Sus scrofa: one gene and its partners. The protein of the gene in region 1 purifies or fractionates together with the protein of each later gene. This does not show direct contact. Links are inferred from orthologs where the notes say so. Each region holds a gene or a part of one and is shown on either strand. Other genes may lie near its edges. The genes, in order: LZTS2, DYRK1A and DYRK1B.

Region 1 (4,393 bases):
TTCCGAGGGCCAGTGTCTGGGGTCTCGGTCGGCTCAGGATTAGGCGGCGGCGGCGGCAGGTCACCCTCTACCCCTACCCGGGCCCCGGGGCCAGCGGCAGCTGGTCATTGTTCGAGCACAAAGGGCCAGGCGCCGAGGCGGCCGCCCTTCCCCCTTCTCTTGTCTCGTCGATGCCTCTTCCCCCAGACACACTCTCCAGCTTCGGAGTCCAGAGGGGGCGGCGGAGGGTCAGTTGCCCCCGATTCGGGGCCCTGCGCCCCAGCACAAGTCGGGGGCCAAGGCTTGGTGGGTGTCTGCCCCACCCGCAGCCGGTTGGAGGAGGCACGCTTGGATTTGTGGAGGTGGCGCCACCTGGCGGCCCATTCGGAGAACACACTCGGTCACCGCCAACCTTGGGGGACCTTACCCTAGAAAGCCTAGGCCTTTCCCCAGCGCGGCTCAGTGCTCCCCAGCCTTCCCTCAGAGTCATTTCCTAAGAGAGAGGCCACTGATCCGAGAGAAGCAGCCCCTGGGCCCAACAGTCACTGAGGTGAGCCCATCCAAGCCTACAGGCCAAACCTACACAGCCGCGTAGCACACAACATCCCACTGTCTTCTCAGGGTCACGGATATTCTCAGCTCGGCAAACAAAACAGTCTTAACACCCACACGACCTTTCCCACAGTCTCACACAGCCACAATCATACAGTCTTTTTCATCACGAGGTTCCATGTCTCTTCTTCCCATAATCTTTCAGGCCAACACACAGAGACATTCGTTTCACATGCCTAGTTGTACACAGGCTTTCACAGCTCGAAGTCCTTCGCACCCAGTCACAATCTTAAATACACTTAGTCTCCTAAGCATTTTTCACACACTGACAGTCTTATTCACAGTCAAAAAACGTCTTCTTACATGTACACAACGTATTTCACAAACATTTTATCACACAGACTTTCCCGTAGGGTCTCTGTGACCCAGTCAGGTCAGCTGATGCCCACACGGCTGTACAAGGACAGCCTCCAGGCCCCTAACTCCGCCCCATCCAGGGCCAAGGCCTGCCACAGCTCCTCTACCCCAGGAAGGAGCATCTCCCCCCCTTCCAGGCCACAGCCCTGGCAGGCTCTCAGCTCTATTTTTAGCTCTATGGAAAGGATTGTTTTTCTTTCTTTTTCCCTGGAAAGGGAAACAGCTCAGCCACCCGCAGGCTCACCCTAGACCCTCTGCTCACAAGAACAGACTGAGTCCCACTCCGGTAGAGACCCCCCCCCCCTCTTCTGGCCTTGCCCTGATCCCAGCCTCCTGGGGCACTAGGAGCCGCCTCCCCTTTCTGGCAGCCAGCCCAGAAGCTCAGGCAGCAGCTGGGCTCAGCGTGCGTGTAGGGGTGGGGGGTGGGGTGAGGAAGGAGGCCGAGGGCCGATGCCCACTTTCATGCCCTGGGGGGAGGGGGCTGTCTTCCCTTCTACGGGAGGGAGACAGGCCCTCTCTGGTGTTGAGATGTGCACGCTCCTGCATTCTCTGGGGAAGGGGGACTCCCACTCTTGCATGCGTGGGCTTTCTGTTCCTACATTGCAAGGAGGAGCTCCTAGCTCTGCAGGGAGGGGTGGTAGTAGGAAGGGCACCCACAGGCGCTGCCGTAGCTGCTCCCTTGGCTGCTATACGCTGCCATCCAGAATATCGCCCCCACGCCCCCAATATCTTCAGGGATGGGGCACCATGTTGGGGAGAAGGAAGGGCGAAGAGCCCAGGTAACCCCAGGCCAGACCAACAGCCTCCTGTTCTCCTTCGCTAACCCGACTCCAGGGGGCGTTGTGTTCTCCTTCCGGGGGAGGTGGAGAATGGACTACAGCCCGGCCAGGTACCTTGCAAGCCCGTCCTGCACCGGGGCGGGCGGTTCCCGCCCTGAGGCCCGGGTGGGGGGAGCACAGCCCACAGGTCTGCGCTACGATCACGTGCTCGGCTCCTGTTTACGTCTTAGTCTTCACCTGCGGGCTGCCGGAAAGCAGGAACCTCTGGAGTTGTCCCACCCGGCCCGCCCCCGTCGGCGGTCCCTGGGTCTTTCCTCCCACCCCTGTCAAGTACGCGGCAGCAGCGCGCCTTGCCCGCTGGGGGTCCCGCGGGCCAGTGGCGTTGTTCCAGGGACGGCAGGCACAGCTCACTGGGCGCGTCCTCTTTAGGGTGCACGTGTGTTCGTCTGTCTCAGGTGCGCGCGTGGGTCTGTGTGTACGCGTGTTTGGACCCGTGAGTGTGAGGTTCCGTGTAGGTTCCCTGTTCACACTCTTCGCTTGTGCCTCCTGCACTGGGGACTCCCCTCCTCACTCCAACCCCCAACCTTCCAAGACCGGTAAAGTTCGCTCCGGCGCGGGGCTGTGCAGGAGCTAGAGTTCCGACACCTCCGCGGCCCCACCACGCACTCACCTAGGGCCACCTGCGCCGCCGCTCCAGCTCCCCTCCCGGCTCCTGCTCCAGCGCCAGCACCTCCTCGCCGCAGATCGGCCGGCTCCCAAGCCCGCTCCGGGCTGCGGACTCCCAGCGCCCGTCCGGCCGGGCCTGGAGGAGCGGGGCGGGGCGGCTGAGGCCGCGCCCCCGACCCCGACAGGGGAGTGGTCTGCGCAGCACCCCCTCAACAACCGACCCAGTGCCCAGCCCAGATGTGGCTCGATGGTGGCCCAGGACTGCTCCTCTGGCCTCTGACTTCACACCTTACAGCATTTGTCTTTCAGCTCGGGGAAGGGGCCAGTGGCACGTGACAGCTAAGCTGGCTGGCTGTCCTAACCAAGTCGGCTGTAGGGCTTTACAGCCACCTTCCTCAGCGCTTTAGGGAGCCCATCCTGGTCCATGCTCAGCCCAGTCCCCAGATGGGGAAAACCCCTGGGAAGCAGACAAAGAAGGCTCGGGTTTCACCAAAACAGACCCCGCCTTCCTCACACACACACACCTCGGCGTTGGGGCTGCCCTTGAGGACCAGCACCTCCCCCTCCCCGAGTAGGTGTCGGCCCAGGTGAGCCGGCCTGCCGGTTTGGGCCCCCACAGAGTATGGCCACGCTTCTCCTAGACTCGTAAAAGTTCCACCCACAGGCACAAACAGGAAGTTGACCTGTACTGCAGGGAGGAACCAAGGGCTCCCTCCCTCCATGGCACCCAAAGTGGCCTTTGTGAGGGCAGACTGTGCTGTCTACAGGTATCTGGGCTGTATTTGCAGCCTGAGCCCTGGGTAGCCGGAGTCTTGTGAGTTTAGTCCCTTCTCAAATGCAAGATGGAGAACCAAAGCTGCCCCCACACAGCTAAGTGTGACAATGAGTCTGAAGACAGCAGACAGCGCTGCAGATCCAGGGACCCTGTTCTGTCAGGCTCTTCCTCAGCTCTCAGGAAGGTTCTAAATGTCCAACTGGGCACATGGAATGCTGGTTCTAGCCCAGGTGATTTGCCTCAATCCACTTTGGCTGAGTACAGGGACAGGGAGTCCCAGGGACCTTACCCAGGAACTAGGGATTACCTGCCACTTTCTAGGCTGCAGTTACTCCGGAACATACTTCTGGCTAATTCTGATGCTAGGAGCTTAAGACAGGTGTGGAATGGAATGTGCTTGTGTACGGGGTGGGGCTGGGGGAGAATTAGCTTCCCCTCCCCCGAGCTGGTTTGTGCAGTGTGGTGGTGTCTGCTAGGAGGGTGGGGCAAGCCGGGCAAGTGTGTATCTATTCCTCTATAGCCAGTTCACACAGACACCTCGCAAAAGTTCCCTAATGGAAACTCCTAAAGTATTTCCTGAGAACACACCAGGCATTCTAGGGAGACCAGACCAACACCTTTCTAGGTAGCATTGATCTGGTGGGGTGCATCTGGAAGGCATGGCTGATGTTCAGTGTTGTAGCCCCTGGATGAGGCCTAGACCAGCCAGCGGCTGGGAATGATTACTGTGGGATTAGGAGAGCTGGCTCCAGCCAGTCTGGGAGAGACCCCCAAGAAGGGAGGCCCTGGAGGATCTCCCCCCTCCCCCCCAGGGAATGGCTTTGCTCCAGGGTCTGTTTCAGAAGACAACTGCAGTCACAGTTCTCACACACCACAGACCAGAGACCCCAGACCATCCATCCCACAGGGGTCCAGAGCCTCCTCTCAGGTTACAGGGAGACCTTGATAAGGCAGCCCTGCTTCCAGGGAGCAGGAAACCTCCCCCAACCCCCTCTACAAAAGGTTTCTCCCCAGCCCCTTTAAAACAGCTTGCATTCTCACCACTTCTGCAGGCAAATCTAAAAGGAAACGGGCACTTCGGGATATCAGAGGAAATGAAATGGAAAAGTGTCATTATTTAGGAATATTTGTCAGGGTCTCTGGATAAATTATCGTCTAATTTCTTTCAGGACTTCTTACACATGAGGAGTCCTGTACATCTCCTGAAACCTCCAGAATTAGAAAT
Region 2 (3,645 bases), on another chromosome or scaffold:
GTTTCAAAAAACTGAACAAATATAATTGTGTTTGAGCTTTCTTCGACAATGTTTTTAGTGCTCAGCACATTATAGATACTCAGTAAACAAGTGATGAATCGGGGAACCCAGAGGATTGTTCTTCCTTTGGAAGAACATTCGCATCATAGTTTCTTAGAGGGATTTTCATAATCCCATTTGAATTCCGACATCAGTTACCTTTTGCATTCCTTTCGTGGCTGCTTCTTAATCAGATCACACTCTTACACGGACCATGTCTCTAGGGTGTCTTATGTCACAGTGGGTCTCTGTTTTTAGTTTAAACTGATGAACTCTGATTAAGAGCATCTAGCATCCATTCTTAGGTAACTGCCGCGGAGAGTTGAGTTGTGCTGTGGACTCCTGTGGAGCCCTGCGGTGGTTGTGTAGTGCTCCTCCTCCTGACTTTAGATCACGGAAGTGACCTAAAAGCAGCAATACCGACATTAATTGTTCAGGGCTGCTCCCAGGACAGCACAGTGTATCCCATTCTCAGAGACCAGATGTTGAATACTGTCTTAGTTATTCCAGATAGATCTGTAGAGAAACCTCTGTTTTACCGGATCCTAAAAGACCAAAATGAAGGTCACCTTGACAAATGGTTGTTTTATATCATTCTAGTTGAGTTACAGGTGCTCAGTTTGGTATATATAAGAATTTTTATACTATAAAGCAGTGCTTTCCTTTATTGAATGACTTCATCTGATGTGAAATTGGTATTAACACTTAAAGCACAACAGTTTGAAGCATTTATTGACTATTTAGCCTTTTTAGAGAGTCAATACTGATACCAAGTGATGTATTCTATCCTCTTTCCCCATTTATAAGCCTACTCATAATTTCTTGTGATTGAGCTTTAGTTTGAAGTTTCCACAAAGGTTCAGTCTTAGACAAGATGTCCCAGGTACCAGTTTGATGAACATAATCAGATGCTTTGACTACGACCTCTCAAAGACCATACACCTTGATTTTCAAACTTTTGCTTGCCTAAAAGGAAAAAAAAAAATCTGTCTTCCTTTGACAGTTGTTGTGGGAAATTACTGGTAAAATCTAAGCTCAGCAAAGCAGATTTATAGATGTCAAAGCCTCCCAGAGAGGGCGGCCAAGTATCTCGCTGTCGCAGGCTGGACATCCCAGTGGGTGGAGCAAAGTGCTGAGGCGGGTGCTCAGAAAGTGAAAAGTGTTTTCTTTTACAAATGAGGATAAAATTAGCAAAGTATTTCCAGTACTGTTCGTCAGTTTGCTGCTTGTATTTTCACACCTGACTTAATTTTTTTTTAATAAGGCACTTTGTTGGTACTACTTACATTATATTGCTTATTGGCGGACACTGTACACTATATGAATTCAGCAGATGAGCAGTTTAGAGGTTCTTAACTGATTAAAGAACGTGCTGTTTACTGCAGAATGCTGATCTCCAAATTTTAGTTTGATTTTCACTCTGCATTTGACGTCGTGTATAGATTGTTAGAGAGTTCATGCATGTGTTATTCTCATCTTACTGCTATGTATAATTAAAAATGAAACTTTTTTCTCTTTCAGTGCATTTAAAACGCCACTTTATGTTTCGAAACCATCTCTGTTTAGTTTTTGAAATGCTGTCCTACAACCTCTATGACTTGTTGAGGAACACCAATTTTCGAGGTGTCTCTTTGAACCTAACACGAAAGTTTGCACAGCAGATGTGCACTGCACTGCTTTTCCTTGCGACTCCAGAACTTAGTATCATTCACTGTGACCTAAAACCTGAGAACATCCTTCTTTGTAACCCCAAACGCAGTGCAATCAAGATTGTTGACTTTGGCAGTTCTTGTCAATTGGGGCAGAGGGTAAGTATATTTATTTCTGGACTTGTGAATTCAAATAGAATTGAGTAAAACGGTGTAGATAGTTAAAATGTTATTAATCTGTACACAATTTGGAGGTAATTACAAGATGGTTTATGGTTCAAATGTAGCACTTGACTCACCTTGTGTTTTACCTATTTGGCGAAAATACCTTTTAAAATGCAAATAATAATACTTTGAATTAGAATGTATTGGTTTTTCAAAGTTTATTTTAAAAAATTATCTGTATGCAAAAGGCAAAGAAAATAGGGGATGAATGTATTAAATATTAGGTGATTTATTAAAAATTTAGTTCCTGGGAGTTCCCATCATGGCTCAGTGGTTAACGAATCTGACTCGGAACCATGAGGTTGCAGGTTTGATCCCTGACCTGGCTCAGTGGGTTAAGGATCCGGCATTGCTGTGAGCTATGGTGTAGGTTGCAGATGCGGATCTGGCGTTGCTGTGGCTATGGTGTAGACTGGTGGCTACAGCTCCGATTCGACCCCTAGCCTGGGAACCTCCATATGCTGCAGGTGCGGCCCTAGAAAAGACAAAAAGACCCCCCCCCCCCCAAAAAAAAAAAGATTTAGTTCCCAAATAGAAGTTTTAGTGTAAGTTTGGGGAAATTCCAGTAATAGAAATATCGAATCCTTGCTGTAAAATATTTCACCAAATATAGCTCAAGATAAGTGTTTTTCCTCAAAAAGCTGATGGGTTAGAGTTCCTGCTGTGGTGCAGTGGGTTAAGGGGTCTGGTGTTGCCACAGCTATGGTGTAGGTCATAGCTGCAGCTGGGACTTGATCCCTAGCGCAGGAACTTCCATATGCCATGGATGCAGCACCACCACCCCCAACAAAAAGCTGATGGGTTAAAAGAAAAAAAAAGGGAGGTAATTTTGCATTACACATGGCAATGTAGTTAGAAATTACTCAGTTAGTAGACATAGTTGTTTTGATAAATAAGTTTAAATTTTTTTTCCTTTTATAAATTTTTAGACGTATCCAGACTGATTTTCCTCAGAATGCTGAAAACAGACATGTCCATAGCAATAAATAGATTTAGGTTAGATGATTTAGGAAAGATTTTTCCTGCTATTCTTTTGAGCATTATGAAAGCTACTCTAACAGTATTTTGTATATAAAATAGAATTTACAGATTCTCTTCTTGAAACTAACTAGGGTCACCATTTGATAACACTTCATTCACTTTTTAATTACTATTCCTATTTAACTAAGTATTGAAACTACATTTCTTTAAAAAAAAGTAAAAATATAACTAACATTCAGGTATCACTGTTTCATAATGGTTTTCCATTTCTTAATTTTCCAAATTAATGAGATTTCCTGTTCTGTCCAACTTTTTTCCAGCTTTTAAATACAGTAGGTTTATGGCCAGTTAACAGGATTGTCCTTTTATTACTTTCTGCAAATTATCTTATGAAAGCAGTACTATAGATCATTGAAATAATTTTTTTAAATAGATGGATTAGGAAGCAAGGTTTGCTGTTTCAGATGCCTCTCAAAATCGAGAGATACTCATAGTCACTGTGGGATAAAGTCTATTGTAAATGGAAAATACGTGCCCATCTTGAGAGTAATTGCAAAAGATTTTAGACTTGCATAGTTTTTTCCCTCTTTAAACCAAATCATATCTTCTGTCCTAATGTCAAACACTGCTGTGTCTCTCCAGCCAAACCAAGACAACTATGCCTTTAGCTCAGTGAGTTTTTACCTCTGTGAGTGTGTCAGAATCCCATGGGAATTTGTTTCTAAACTAGGCCAGCACTGGCCCTACTTTA
Region 3 (3,239 bases), on another chromosome or scaffold:
GGACGGTACCTTTTGAACCTGGCGGCTCTTAATTGGCGGGTCGGGAGAGTTTTCCAAATTATCATGGAAACAGGCCCACTTACCTGGAACCCCGGTAATTATCCCTTGGCCTGAGAACTCTCAAAACGTTTTGCTCCGTAATGATTCCAAAGGCCGGACGTGGGGGGGGGGGGCGTAAACTGCCTGTCAATCCCCAGGTGGCTCCAATCAGGCCGACCACAAGCACTCATCACCCACTAGACACCTGGCAAAAGCAGCCACGCCTGTGCCGACTCTGTGGAAGCCCTGGCTTTCTAGGGCAGAACCTGATGTTTCCCAGAGACAGGCCAGAGCTGGGCCTTTATCCTTCTTAGTTTACCCTAGATAAGGCAATGTGGGCTAGGATGCTTTCCAGGGTCTCTGTCTAGGATTCCACAGCCCCAGACCGCCTACAGCCCCAGGTCTGGCATCAGCACTGCTAACGTCCCCAGGGGACGCGTTCCACATGAGAAAGCTCTTCCAGCACCCCTTCCCCAAACACGTTCCCCATCACACCGCTGAGGGCTGGGTGAGGGGAGCCAAGGCCTTGCAAACGCTCAGGCGGGGCATGTGAGAAAGCTCTTTACTGGGGGGTACAGCGAGGAGGAGCAAGGCCATCTCCCCCTACCTGCCCCCACCCCCTCCTAGGGCCCTGGGGTGAGGGGACTCTCCCCCTCCCGCTGGACCACCACTGTCTTTGGTACAATAAATAGAAAACACAGGGGGAGAGGGGGCCAAGGGTCCAGTCCTTAGTGGGGAGGGTGCACCTGAACCCTTCTCCTTGACCCCCTGCCCCAGGCCCCAATCAGTGCAGGCCTCACCCACCCCGGCTGGGTAGCAGCAATTCCAGTCAAGGGGAAAGATGAGGATGGGAGCCCAGGGCCCCCAGATGGGGGGTATGGCTTCAGGAGGGGCCCCAGGGAGGGGGCAGGGTCATGAGCTGGCTGCCGTGCTCTGGGGTACACCACGGAGGCCCAAGCGAGGCCCCAGAGTGGCAGGGTCATCAGGGGGTGGGAGGGGTGGACGACCTCCTGTCATCCGAGTCCGGAGGGCTGAGGCAGCCGGGTGCTGGGGGGCAGGTGCCGGGTGAGGCGGGGAGCAGTCCGGAGGGCCTCCCACCAGGCTCACATCCATTAGCTCTGGGGGTGGTGGCGAGGTTGGTGATGGGGGACGACCAAGGCATCGGGGTTGGGGGGGTAACTGGGCCCCAGCCCCTGGCAGTGATGAGGCGGAGGCAGGGGCCTGATGTGTCTTGTGGGGCATATCACCCCCTGCCCAGGGGCGCAGCGGCTGGGAGGGTGGGACCTAAAGGAGCAAAGGAACAGTGGGTGATGGAGACCTAGGTCCTGAAGCCCCAGATACTCCACCACCCACCTCCAGAGTCCCCAAGGCCCCATTACCTGGGGGCTGTTCATCTCACAGTCAGTGATGGGGGGCCCAGGGCCCCCACAATATCGGTTGCTATAGCGGTAGGTCCGGTTGTCACTGGAGGAGCCACTGGAGCCTCCTGGAAGTGCCAGGGAAGGAGAGGAGAGGGCTTAGGCGAGGAGACGGGGCGGCTGGGTCTTCAGGTGGCAGAGTCTGGTTCACAGCCCAGGCTCAGGTCTAAGACTTTGGGGCGGTACCCACTGGGAGGATCAGGCCCAATTTTGAGACCAGGGGTCAGAGTTCAGTTTAGGGCATCAAAGAGTCAGAACTGAGCTCAGTTTGAGAGACCAGGTCAGGGCCAGTCTGAGCTCGCCTGCCCACCCCTTCTGGAGTTTCAGGGTCATGCAGTTTCAAAGCTCTAGGTGAAGGCTCAGTGGCAGGGCTGCCCAGATCAGCCCAAACCAGAGGTGCCCCCACCCCTGTTTTACCCCATCTGGCACTGAGCACCCACCAGAGCTGGAGATGGAGCTGGCGGTGCTGGAGGAGGGGCAGGTGTCAAGGGGCGCGGGCGACGTGGAGGCACTGCTGCCTGCCGGGCCCGTGTTGGTGGCCTCATCAGCCGTGCGGCGGAAGAAGCCATGCTGCAGAGCCCCCAGTGGGCTGATGCGGGCGGCGGGCTCATACTCCAGCATGCGCAGCACCAGGTCCTGGAAGCGGAGGTAGTCGGCGGGGCTGTGGCCCGGCTCCCCCGCCCGCCGGCCCCCGGGCCCGCCCGTCTGCACGCCCAGCACCTCCTGCAGCCGCCGTGTCCCGGGGCCCTGGTAATCCTGGCAGGGGGAGGTGGGAGGGGGGGCAAGAGAGTGGCCGTCAGTGGGCAGGAGGGGCAGGGAGACACACATGGGGAGACAGAGGCACAAGAGAGAAAGTAGAAAGAGAGAAGCTAAGAAGAGCTGTGGGGTGGGTAGGAGGAGAGATGGGGTGGGCGGGGGAGGAAGGAAAAGACAGGGCAGAGGAAGGAAGGGAAAGACACAAGGGAGAGGCAGCAGGGAGAGAGGGGGAGGGCGCCCCAAGTGTGAGAGAGTGAGGGGCCGCCGGGGTGGGAGGAGCGGCGTGGGGCAGGGGCCGCACCTTCCTGAGTTCCTTTGTCCTTCGCAGGGTCCAGCCACCCCCAGGCAGCCGCTCAAAGTACTTTCGAGCCTTGGGTGCCTGGTCCAGCATGGGGGCTGGTGGGATGCCCAGCACCTCCACAATGCGGTTCATCTGGTCCACCTGGGAGCAGGCGGGCAGTCAGGGTCATCAGCCAGCCAGGCCTCCACCCCCTCCAGCACACCCCCTCCTCGGGAGCACACCTCATTGGAGCCACTGAAGAGGGGCTCTCCGGTGTGCATCTCCACCAGGATGCAGCCCAGGGACCACATGTCAATGGCCAGGTCATAGGGTGTGCCCAGGAGCACCTCAGGCGAACGGTAGAAACGGCTCTGGATGTACTGGTAGATCTGGGGGAGGGGAAAGGGCAACAGTCAGAGGTCCCAGCCTTCCCTGTGGGTACCCCCGACACCCCCAAACCTAGGAGGACTGACTGTGCACAAGCCTCCTGCCTCCAGAACTGGGGATGGGGGTCTTCAAACCCTGATGTTTTCAGCACAACCTCCCAAGGATTGCTGCCACTACCTCACTCATCAGTTTCAGGAGTCTCTGCTGGCCTAGTCTGATCCCGATCTCCATCCCCTGGCCTGACCCTGAGCCCCTATGGGTCACCAGGATCCGGCAATCCGCAGACCTAGCCTCTTCCCACCCTTCCAATCCAGACCCTTTCAAACCACTACCAGCGTCTTCTCAAAGGCCTTCTCACC

What was found.
Region 2: the proteins of LZTS2 (region 1) and DYRK1A purify together in Homo sapiens (affinity purification with mass spectrometry; 8 studies listed by BioGRID and IntAct, counting the BioPlex papers as one, with this or other methods). This does not show direct contact. The link is inferred for Sus scrofa from reciprocal best matches to the Homo sapiens genes LZTS2 and DYRK1A.
Region 3: the proteins of LZTS2 (region 1) and DYRK1B purify together in Homo sapiens (affinity purification with mass spectrometry; 3 studies listed by BioGRID and IntAct, counting the BioPlex papers as one, with this or other methods). This does not show direct contact. The link is inferred for Sus scrofa from reciprocal best matches to the Homo sapiens genes LZTS2 and DYRK1B.

The regions. Positions count from the first base shown.
Region 1 is NC_010456.5:112,076,655-112,081,047, reverse strand, and holds the start of LZTS2 (leucine zipper putative tumor suppressor 2), read right to left. Parts: upstream 2,838-4,393; 5' UTR 2,398-2,837; intron 1,221-2,397; exon of another isoform or gene 78-1,220; intron 1-77. UniProt on the Homo sapiens protein: Negative regulator of katanin-mediated microtubule severing and release from the centrosome. Required for central spindle formation and the completion of cytokinesis.
Region 2 is NC_010455.5:201,137,396-201,141,040, forward strand, and holds part of DYRK1A (dual specificity tyrosine-phosphorylation-regulated kinase 1A), read left to right. Parts: intron 1-1,560; coding exon 1,561-1,847; intron 1,848-3,645. UniProt on the Homo sapiens protein: Dual-specificity kinase which possesses both serine/threonine and tyrosine kinase activities. Exhibits a substrate preference for proline at position P+1 and arginine at position P-3.
Region 3 is NC_010448.4:48,305,259-48,308,497, forward strand, and holds the end of DYRK1B (dual specificity tyrosine-phosphorylation-regulated kinase 1B), read right to left. Parts: intron 2,883-3,239; coding exon 2,736-2,882; intron 2,656-2,735; coding exon 2,515-2,655; intron 2,214-2,514; coding exon 1,898-2,213; intron 1,526-1,897; coding exon 1,419-1,525; intron 1,324-1,418; coding exon 952-1,323; 3' UTR 579-951; downstream 1-578.